Linked DNA regions of Rattus norvegicus. The protein of the gene in region 1 interacts with the protein of each later gene in a pairwise test. Links are inferred from orthologs where the notes say so. Each region holds a gene or a part of one and is shown on either strand. Other genes may lie near its edges.

Evidence for each region.
Region 2: the proteins of Ccnc (region 1) and Nmnat1 interact in binary tests that used the Homo sapiens proteins (3 or more experiments, as listed by UniProt). The two-hybrid records come from large-scale screens. The link is inferred for Rattus norvegicus from reciprocal best matches to the Homo sapiens genes CCNC and NMNAT1.

The regions. Positions count from the first base shown.
Region 1 is NC_086023.1:40,066,545-40,070,191, forward strand, and holds part of Ccnc (cyclin-C), read left to right. Parts: intron 1-823; coding exon 824-908; intron 909-1,089; coding exon 1,090-1,159; intron 1,160-2,614; exon of another isoform or gene 2,615-2,664; intron 2,665-3,647. UniProt on the Homo sapiens protein: Component of the Mediator complex, a coactivator involved in regulated gene transcription of nearly all RNA polymerase II-dependent genes.
Region 2 is NC_086023.1:165,208,286-165,212,581, forward strand, and holds the start of Nmnat1 (nicotinamide/nicotinic acid mononucleotide adenylyltransferase 1), read right to left. Parts: upstream 2,929-4,296; 5' UTR 2,889-2,928; exon of another isoform or gene 2,784-2,888; intron 2,589-2,783; exon of another isoform or gene 2,441-2,588; coding exon of another isoform or gene 2,416-2,440; intron 1,277-2,415; exon of another isoform or gene 1,177-1,276; coding exon of another isoform or gene 1,140-1,176; intron 1-1,139.

The DNA.
Region 1 (3,647 bases):
CAGGGCAACTCTTTTTTGCACCTTATGTATCATAAGCACAGTGTTGTATAATTTCAGGCATTTCTAGTGACACCCATTTTTAAGGTTGGCCTAAGCAAAATACTTTAATAAATGATCCTTTAAATTAGCATCCTATTGTTGTCATTTTGCCTTATAACTTTGCATTAGCAAGAAGGAGATTTAATCAAGAGCCCTTTACTGTGTCTGGGATAGCTTTGCTGCCTGTTCTTTTGTTTGTTTGTGTTGTTTGTTTATTGTATTTATCTTATGTGATTTGCACTTTGCCGGTATCTGGGCAGTTATCTGCTGTGCCTGATGCTGAGGAAGTTAGGATCTCCTGACGGAGTTACAGAGGACTATGAGCCACCATGTAGGTGTTAAGAATGGAACCCAGGTCTTATGCTCTTGACTCCTGAGCCATCTCCCCATCCTGTCACCTAGCTTTAATTCCGTTATTCTCTGCAATCCTACCTTGTCCTTATATCAAAGATTAACTATGGATTTCTTGGTAAATAACAATATCTGTCTTAATTTTTAAGCTACTCTATAGCTATTATGAAAAGCATTAAAATATGTAGTAAAGAAAGAATATTTGATACTCAGCCTGCTTATATTGCAAGGATAAATTGCAGGCAGTTTCTCTTATTGTTTATGAATATTGCTGCATTTGTAAGTCTTAGACTACTGGAGTTCAGAGGGTGTCAGAGTGTGCCTAGATGTGAAATGGTCATGATTGCAACGTAGAAATCACTAATAAAACTTAAGGTTATTAGTGTTGGTATACTGATGACAGATGGTACATTTAAACGTATTCTTTTTTTAGTTATCCAAGCATTAGGGGAACATCTTAAATTAAGACAACAAGTTATTGCTACTGCTACAGTCTATTTCAAGAGATTCTATGCCAGGTATGGTTGTTTTATTTATTATTTTTAATGCCTGGTTGGAATTCTTTTCTAATTTCCATGTACAATATATAAAATAAGTAAATCACTTGTTTACTGTAGAATTATGATTCCCAAAGTCCACCCCCACCCCAGTGTGTTTTCTAAATAGTCATCATTTAACTCTTGTCTAATCATATTTTAGGTATTCTCTGAAAAGTATAGATCCTGTATTAATGGCTCCTACATGTGTGTTTCTGGCATCCAAAGTAGAGGTATAAAACAATTTTCTGTTCTTCATGAAAATATTGATATGTCTGGTTTATCATAGATAGATAGATAGATAGATAGATAGATAAATAGATAGATAAATAGATAGATAGATAGATATTGCTTTTGTATGGTTAATCATAGTTATCCTATGATAGTTTATAGGAACTAATATGCACATCTTGAAAATGTTTTTATTTTTTTAATAAATATTTTATGTATCAGATGATTTAATGAGCCCTTTGCAAGTTCTTTTTTTTTCTTTTTTTTTTCATCTTTATTAACTTGGGTATTTCTTATTTACATCTCTATTCCTTTGCAAGTTCTAATTCAATCCTGTAACTCTGGAGTATATGGCAGTAGTATCCATGTGGGGTCAAAGGACCAAAGACCCTGACCCTGGTTTGACCCTGAGATCAGGGCCAGGGAAAGAACACCTTGACTTGAGCCCAAGCAAGAAACCAAGGCCAAGAAAAAGAATCCTTCCAGTCCCTGAGTTTGCCCCAAGATCAGGCCCATGCTACCCTGGAAAACAATCCTGCCCCCCACCCTCAAATACAGCCTACCTTCTTAGGTTTCTGCTGCTTCTCCTCCTTACCCAAGCAGGGTTGCAAACACCTTCTCTTGTCATTCCCAATAAGTCTTTATGTGAACTTTGTTGTGCAGTGTGACTTTGTGGTATTCCTTGGCTCCTGACTGGGAAGATGCCTTTCCTTCAGAGATGCAACACTGGGGAAAGGAATCCCCTCAGAACTGTAGCATTTACAATTGTCATTTTAGAAATGAGGAAACTAGGGCATAGAGAGAGCAGTGTTCGTATACTGGGTCAGTGGTTCCAATAGTCTAGATCTTCATCCTGTAACTTAATTGCTTGCTGTCTTTAAAAGACTATTTATCTGAGTGTGGTGGTGCATGCCTTTAATCCCAGCACCTGGGAGGCAGAGGCAGGTGGATCTCTATGTATTCAAGGCCAGCTTGAACCACAGTGAATTCTAAGTTCCAAGATAGCCAGAGGTTTGTAGTAAGACCCAGTCTTAAAACAACCAAAAAAAAAAAAAAAAAAAAAAAAAAAAAAGAAAAGAAAAAAGAAAAAGAAAGAAAGAAAACAAAGGAGGTAGCACAGCTTATCTACTATGGCCTGAGAATGTCTCTGCTCCTCACCCACATGCTTTTTGTTTACACCTGACTTCTCTGGTAACAAGCCACTGTGGGAGAGCAAAAAGGTAGAAAAGACTTTATAGACTCCAGCAAGGAAGTGTGGATAGTGAGAGCAGAAAAGGTAAGTAAGAGAAGACAGAGAAGGACTTGGACTGGGAACTGCATTTCTGCTCAACTTACTGTTTGCAATATTATTGAGAAAGTGTAACTACCCCCTAAAGCCCAAATAGTAGCAGATTCTGAGAACTGGCTTTTTTCTTAGCTAATCCACACAATTCCTAGTCTATTGTTTCTGTTCTTAGGTAATGTCTTTAGGATAATTGTATCCATGTGAATTGAATGACTTTAACCAGTAAGTTTGTTTCTTTTGTGTTCATTTTATCTTAGAAACATTCATGACATCTTGATTATCTCTTAAGTATGCAGAATTGAATATATTAGAATACTAAAACCCTTTCTAGGAACCTAAGTTAACTCTGTCCATGAGAGAGATAAAGTTTGAATAAATCTAGTTATAAGTCAGTCTATAAACAAGTCAGTTATAGTGTTTACCTAGTTCCCATGAGGCCTGGTTTCAGTCCTGAGGACCAGATGTGTATCGAATGTCTTTTTGAATAAAGAGGTCTTGTAGATGAGGTGTATTTTTAGTTGTGGTTGTTGAGTTACTTTTTCTTAAAGTTTTTTTTTATACAATGTATTTTGACCATGTTTTCTCCCCTACCCTAGCTTCTCGCAGATCCTTTTCCCTACTCACCCAGCTTAGTGTTCATTTTCTGTGTCTCAAACAAAGCAAAAACTAAAACAAAAAACATAAGACAAATATCGAAACAAAGCCAGTAAGAAACAAAAAAGCCTTCAAAAAAAAAAAAAAATCAAGCAACCAAGGACAAAAGCCATGTAGTTAATTTTGTGTTGTCCAACTATTCCTGGGCCTGGGGACTGCTTTAGAGTGTGTTGATTTGACTAGGGTCACTCCATTGGACCTTTGCCAGTAGGTATCAATTCCAGGTAGCATTTTCATTTACCCTCTCAGTATGTTGCATTACATTTTAACTCTAACCAAATCTTTCTGTTTTGTCTAATTGATTAGAAATTGTGGGCAAAATCATGTTTAACATACTATCTTCAGTTTTGAGTTTTTAGTTTTAATTATTGGGTTTTGAAGGTTAAATATAAATATATGTGCGCACATAAAGTTATAGATTACGTTTTTGTTTTTTTTTTTTTTTTTTTTTGGTTCTTTTTTTCAGAGCTGGGGACCGAACCCAGGGCCTTGCGCTTCCTAGGCAAGCGCTCTACCACTGAGCTAAATCCCCAACCCCAGATTACATATTT
Region 2 (4,296 bases), about 130 Mb from region 1:
CCTGAACTTTACTACTTATCCGTGCTGCTGTCAGTGGGTAGCCTGGTATCCACGGGTGAGTAAAAACACTTCCCAAGCCCCCACCCAGGTCAGATGCTTGCACACCCCTCAAGCGAAGACATGGCATGACCTCGGTTTATGTAAGGAGCCCCAGCTCCTCTTACTGCAGAACTCTCAGAGACAGAGTGTTAGAGAGGGGAAAGGAGGCTTTGGATGGGATAGAAAGAGGTTTCCTGGGATGCAGCCCGTGGGGAGTGCTGGCCCAGCACAGCAGAGTCCTGCGCTCAGACACCAGCACTGCCTATGCCCAGGTGGTGGCACCCAGGCTGGTAATCCCAGATACTCCAGAGGAGGAAGCAGGAGGAGGATCAGGAGTTCAACCTGTTCCCGGCCCACCTGAGAAACATGAGACTCTAACACTCAGGAGGCAGAGATGGAGACAGGTGGTTTCCTGTGAGTCAGAGGCTAGCCCAATGAGTTCTAGGAACTATGTAAGAGAGAGACCCTGTGTCACAAATCTTCCACAGCAGCAGTAGTTAGCTGCATAGGACTTGCACAGGACTGGGCCACTCAACATTCCATCATCATGTGTAGAGGAGGGGCTCATAAGGCCACCCCCCCCAGGTGTTCCATATAGGCAGTTAATGGTTGCTAGAGAGGGAGTCAGATTTCACGTTGGTTTTAGGCACTGGAAAGGTGCTCTTGCTCACCTGCCCCCTCCCCCCACTTATGCAGGCAACATTAATTAAAGCCTCTGAGCCACAAAGAAAACAAAGTCATGGAAGTAGGACAGGATATCTTCGGAAGAAAGGTTTTCATGGGGAAGGGGAATAAGAGAGTACTGCAGGGAAACACCATCAACAAACATTTATATATGCGGTCCTTGTTTGTCTAAGCTTTTAGGAATAAGTTTTTAAAAGCATCCTTCTTGCCTGAGTTCTGCTCTACCTTATTAGATTCTGTGCTCTGTCCTGCAGTGCTTTTCTCTGGCATGGGGCTCATCTGGCTGTCCAAAGTGACCTGCCCAAGGTCAGATGCTAAGCCAACAGTCTGAAGCTTGCCTGTGGGTCCTGCTGGTCTCATGCCTCATTTACACGCCTGGGCTGACTGAGTCTGCCCCAGCAGCACCCGCCACATACCGTCAAGCATCTCAGAAGATGATCTCCTAGCTGCCATTTCTACATGAAATGTCAGCTGCACACCTTGGCCACATAGGAAGCAGGCCAAAACCAGCCATCATGGAAGAAAGTTTCATACCGAGCGAGGAAGTGAGCTGGTCAACTGCTACCACAGGCTCTCCATTACAAACAAATTCATCTGAAGGAAGAGTGAGGATTTACACAGTACTGTCGAGATTGTTATATTGACTTTCTATAAGCCTCAGTTCCTAGAAACCAGGGACGTTAGTATCTGAGTGGACGAAAGCTGCCGAAGTGGGCATAGTCAAAAGAAATCACTTATCTCAGCCAAGTGAAGTTTCACATGGAAACAGTGGTTGAGACCTTACATTCAACAAGATCAATGTATCCATTCTTTGCATTGTGGAGATTTTTGGATAAGGAGAATCTCTTTGTGGGTTACAACAGTCTTCCGTATTACTACAGCCAATTATTTTGTAGAACACATAAGTTGACCTAAGTGAGTCTGAGCCTCCCTCGGCTGCTGTGACACAACACTCTGACCAAAAGCAATTGGGGAGGAAAAGTTCTTTTGCCCTTTACTTCCAGGTCAATCCATCACTGACGGAATTGGGGCACCAGCTCTAGGAGAAACATGAAGCAGACAGTACTGAGGAATGCTGCCTCCTGGCTTGAACTCACTCTGTAGACCAGTCTGGCCCTGAACTCACAGATATCATCCTGCCTCTGCCTCTATAGTGCCAATGCCCAGTACCCAGCAAACTAATACAGCCCAGGACCACCTGCCAGGAATAGTGTCGCCCAGTGGGCTGGGCCCTCCTCTAACAATTTACAGGACAGCCTTACACAGACATGGCCACAGATCTGGACAATTCTTCAATCAAGGTTTTCCTTTCAGATGACTCTAGGCTATGACAGTTAGCAGTTAAAAGTAATCTATGAACTCTTAGCCCCATCCCCACCCCCACCCCATCTTTAACCTCACAAAGGCATCTCGATAAGCTATAACCTTTCAATCCCTTGTCTCCAAAGTCTCCTGTTAACATTGTAATATCAAGCATAAGCCAACTTTCAAATTCTCAGTCTTTAAAAATTTCAACTTTTAAAAGTTCTGAGTCTCAAAGTCCAAGTCTTTTAGTCATGAGCTCCTGTAAAATACAAAATAAGTTTCAGACTTTCTAATCCCAAATGGGAAAAACCAGAGAATAGGAATGATCCCAACAAAGCAAACCCAGAATCCAACAGTGTAATTCAATATCCGATATTTGGGACTCACGATCTGGGTTCCAAAGAGCTGGCATAGCCCTATCTCCACTCAGTTCCCTGGCAACTCAGTACAGTCCACTCAGCAGCTACTTTCCTAGTTCTCAAAGGCTGTGTGCGCATGCTCTTTCCCAAATTTGGAAATGATTAAGAGGTAAAGTCTGTCTCAATGCCGGCTTTCCCACATTGCCTCTCACTTCCCTTTAAGTTCATGGGCGCCTGCTCTCCAGAAGCCTCTAGACAGGAAAACCCCATGCCACTCCAAAGGGTGAACTGACCTGCATCAAAGTCACTGGAAATTTTACCAACTTTTTGGTTCCAAGAACTAAAGGGCAAGAGTTGACTATGAAGACCTGGCCCCGGGGACCGTTACGAAGGTCTCTATAGGTCCAGCCATTGTGCATTCTCCCTTGCTTGACAAAATACGGGGCGTCGGGCTAACGGTCCCAAAGGTGCGTCTCCTAGGTCCTTGGGTTGGGTGCTTACCAGGCCGTGAAGGCCAAACGGCCCTAGTCCTCCAGGAGACAACCTCGGCCCGGACGCCAGCGCAGGGAACACCGAAGCGGCGCTCTCATTGGTCCCACGAAGCCGGAAGTGCGCGAGTCCAGCGGAAGTGCTCGCTCCATGTGGTCCGCCCGGCCAGGGCGTCAGGTAGGCGGGGCTCCTGGTTCCAAATTCTGGGATCTGTTAGCCGGCGGCCGGCGGGGACGCCATAGCAGAAGGAGGTTGTCCTGTTTCTCATCAGGGAGGACCGAGAAGCGTTTCGCAGGCGTAGGACTCCCCGCCACCTCAGGTGACCACTGGGCCTGCTGGAGCCCGGCCTTGGCGGGACCTGCAGACCGGAGCTTGGAGTTCGTCCGCGAGGAGGAGACTGGCGCCCGAGCGTGGCAGTTTATTTTTGTTCCGGTGGTCCTGGGCCGAGCGCTGCTCCCTTCCGTCCCCGAGAAGGTGTGCTTTCTGCCCTTGCCTGTTCGTGCTTCTGTGACAGTTTTCCTCAAGCCGTGCCCTGAGTGCAGTGTGCTTTGGCCTCACCCAGAGGAAACCTCAGCAAAAGCTACAGGAGGCACAGTCCAGGGATTCTGTGGCCTCTCCTGCACCTTCCTAGGAATGGAGAATGTATTTTAATTACAGTCTGCTTAAAGGGAAGTTTTCTGGACTCAGTAGGCCAAGTTCAGACATAGCAAATAAAACGGTAACAGTTTACCTTGTTCTAGCCAACTCCACCCCTAGGAGGTTTGAAGTTTGAGCCTCCTGTAAACTCTATAACAGCTTCGCTTTCCTCAAATTGATGACACCCAGAGCTCCAACAGTTGGCGATTTGTACAATTTGAGACCCATCAGCTCCGTACACAGTACAGAATACTAGAAGCCCGGTGAGCGTGAATAAATATTTACCACTCCAGATGACAACTGGCCCTTTTCAGCAGTCTCAAAGGAAATGCATCACTTCTGTTCAGTACTAGGTGGTGCCAGTGAGTTAAATCTTTCTGGCCTAAATCTGTAGTGTGTGGTTAAAGGGTTTGTCTTGGTTTTGTTAACAAGTCTCCATATTTCCTTAATTTATTCAGAATAACTTTGCTTTTTGAGACTTTGCGGCTTGGGAGTGTGTCCTGGTAATAGTGCTTATGTAGTACTCTGGTCCTTCCCTTTCCCCCCAAGAAGAGATAGGTAGATTTTCTGTTAAACAGTAATAACTCCCTGTGCAGGGGATTTATCTTAATGGTAGAGTGCTTGCTTAGGAATGAGGTTCTGGATTCAATCCCCTGTTCTGGGGAAAAAAAAAAAAAGTCTGGGCATGTTGGCACATACCTGTAATGCTAGAAATCCTAGATGTAATATATTATTTTCATTTTATATTTTTTTGAAAGTTACTTTTTTAAAAATTTTTTATTTA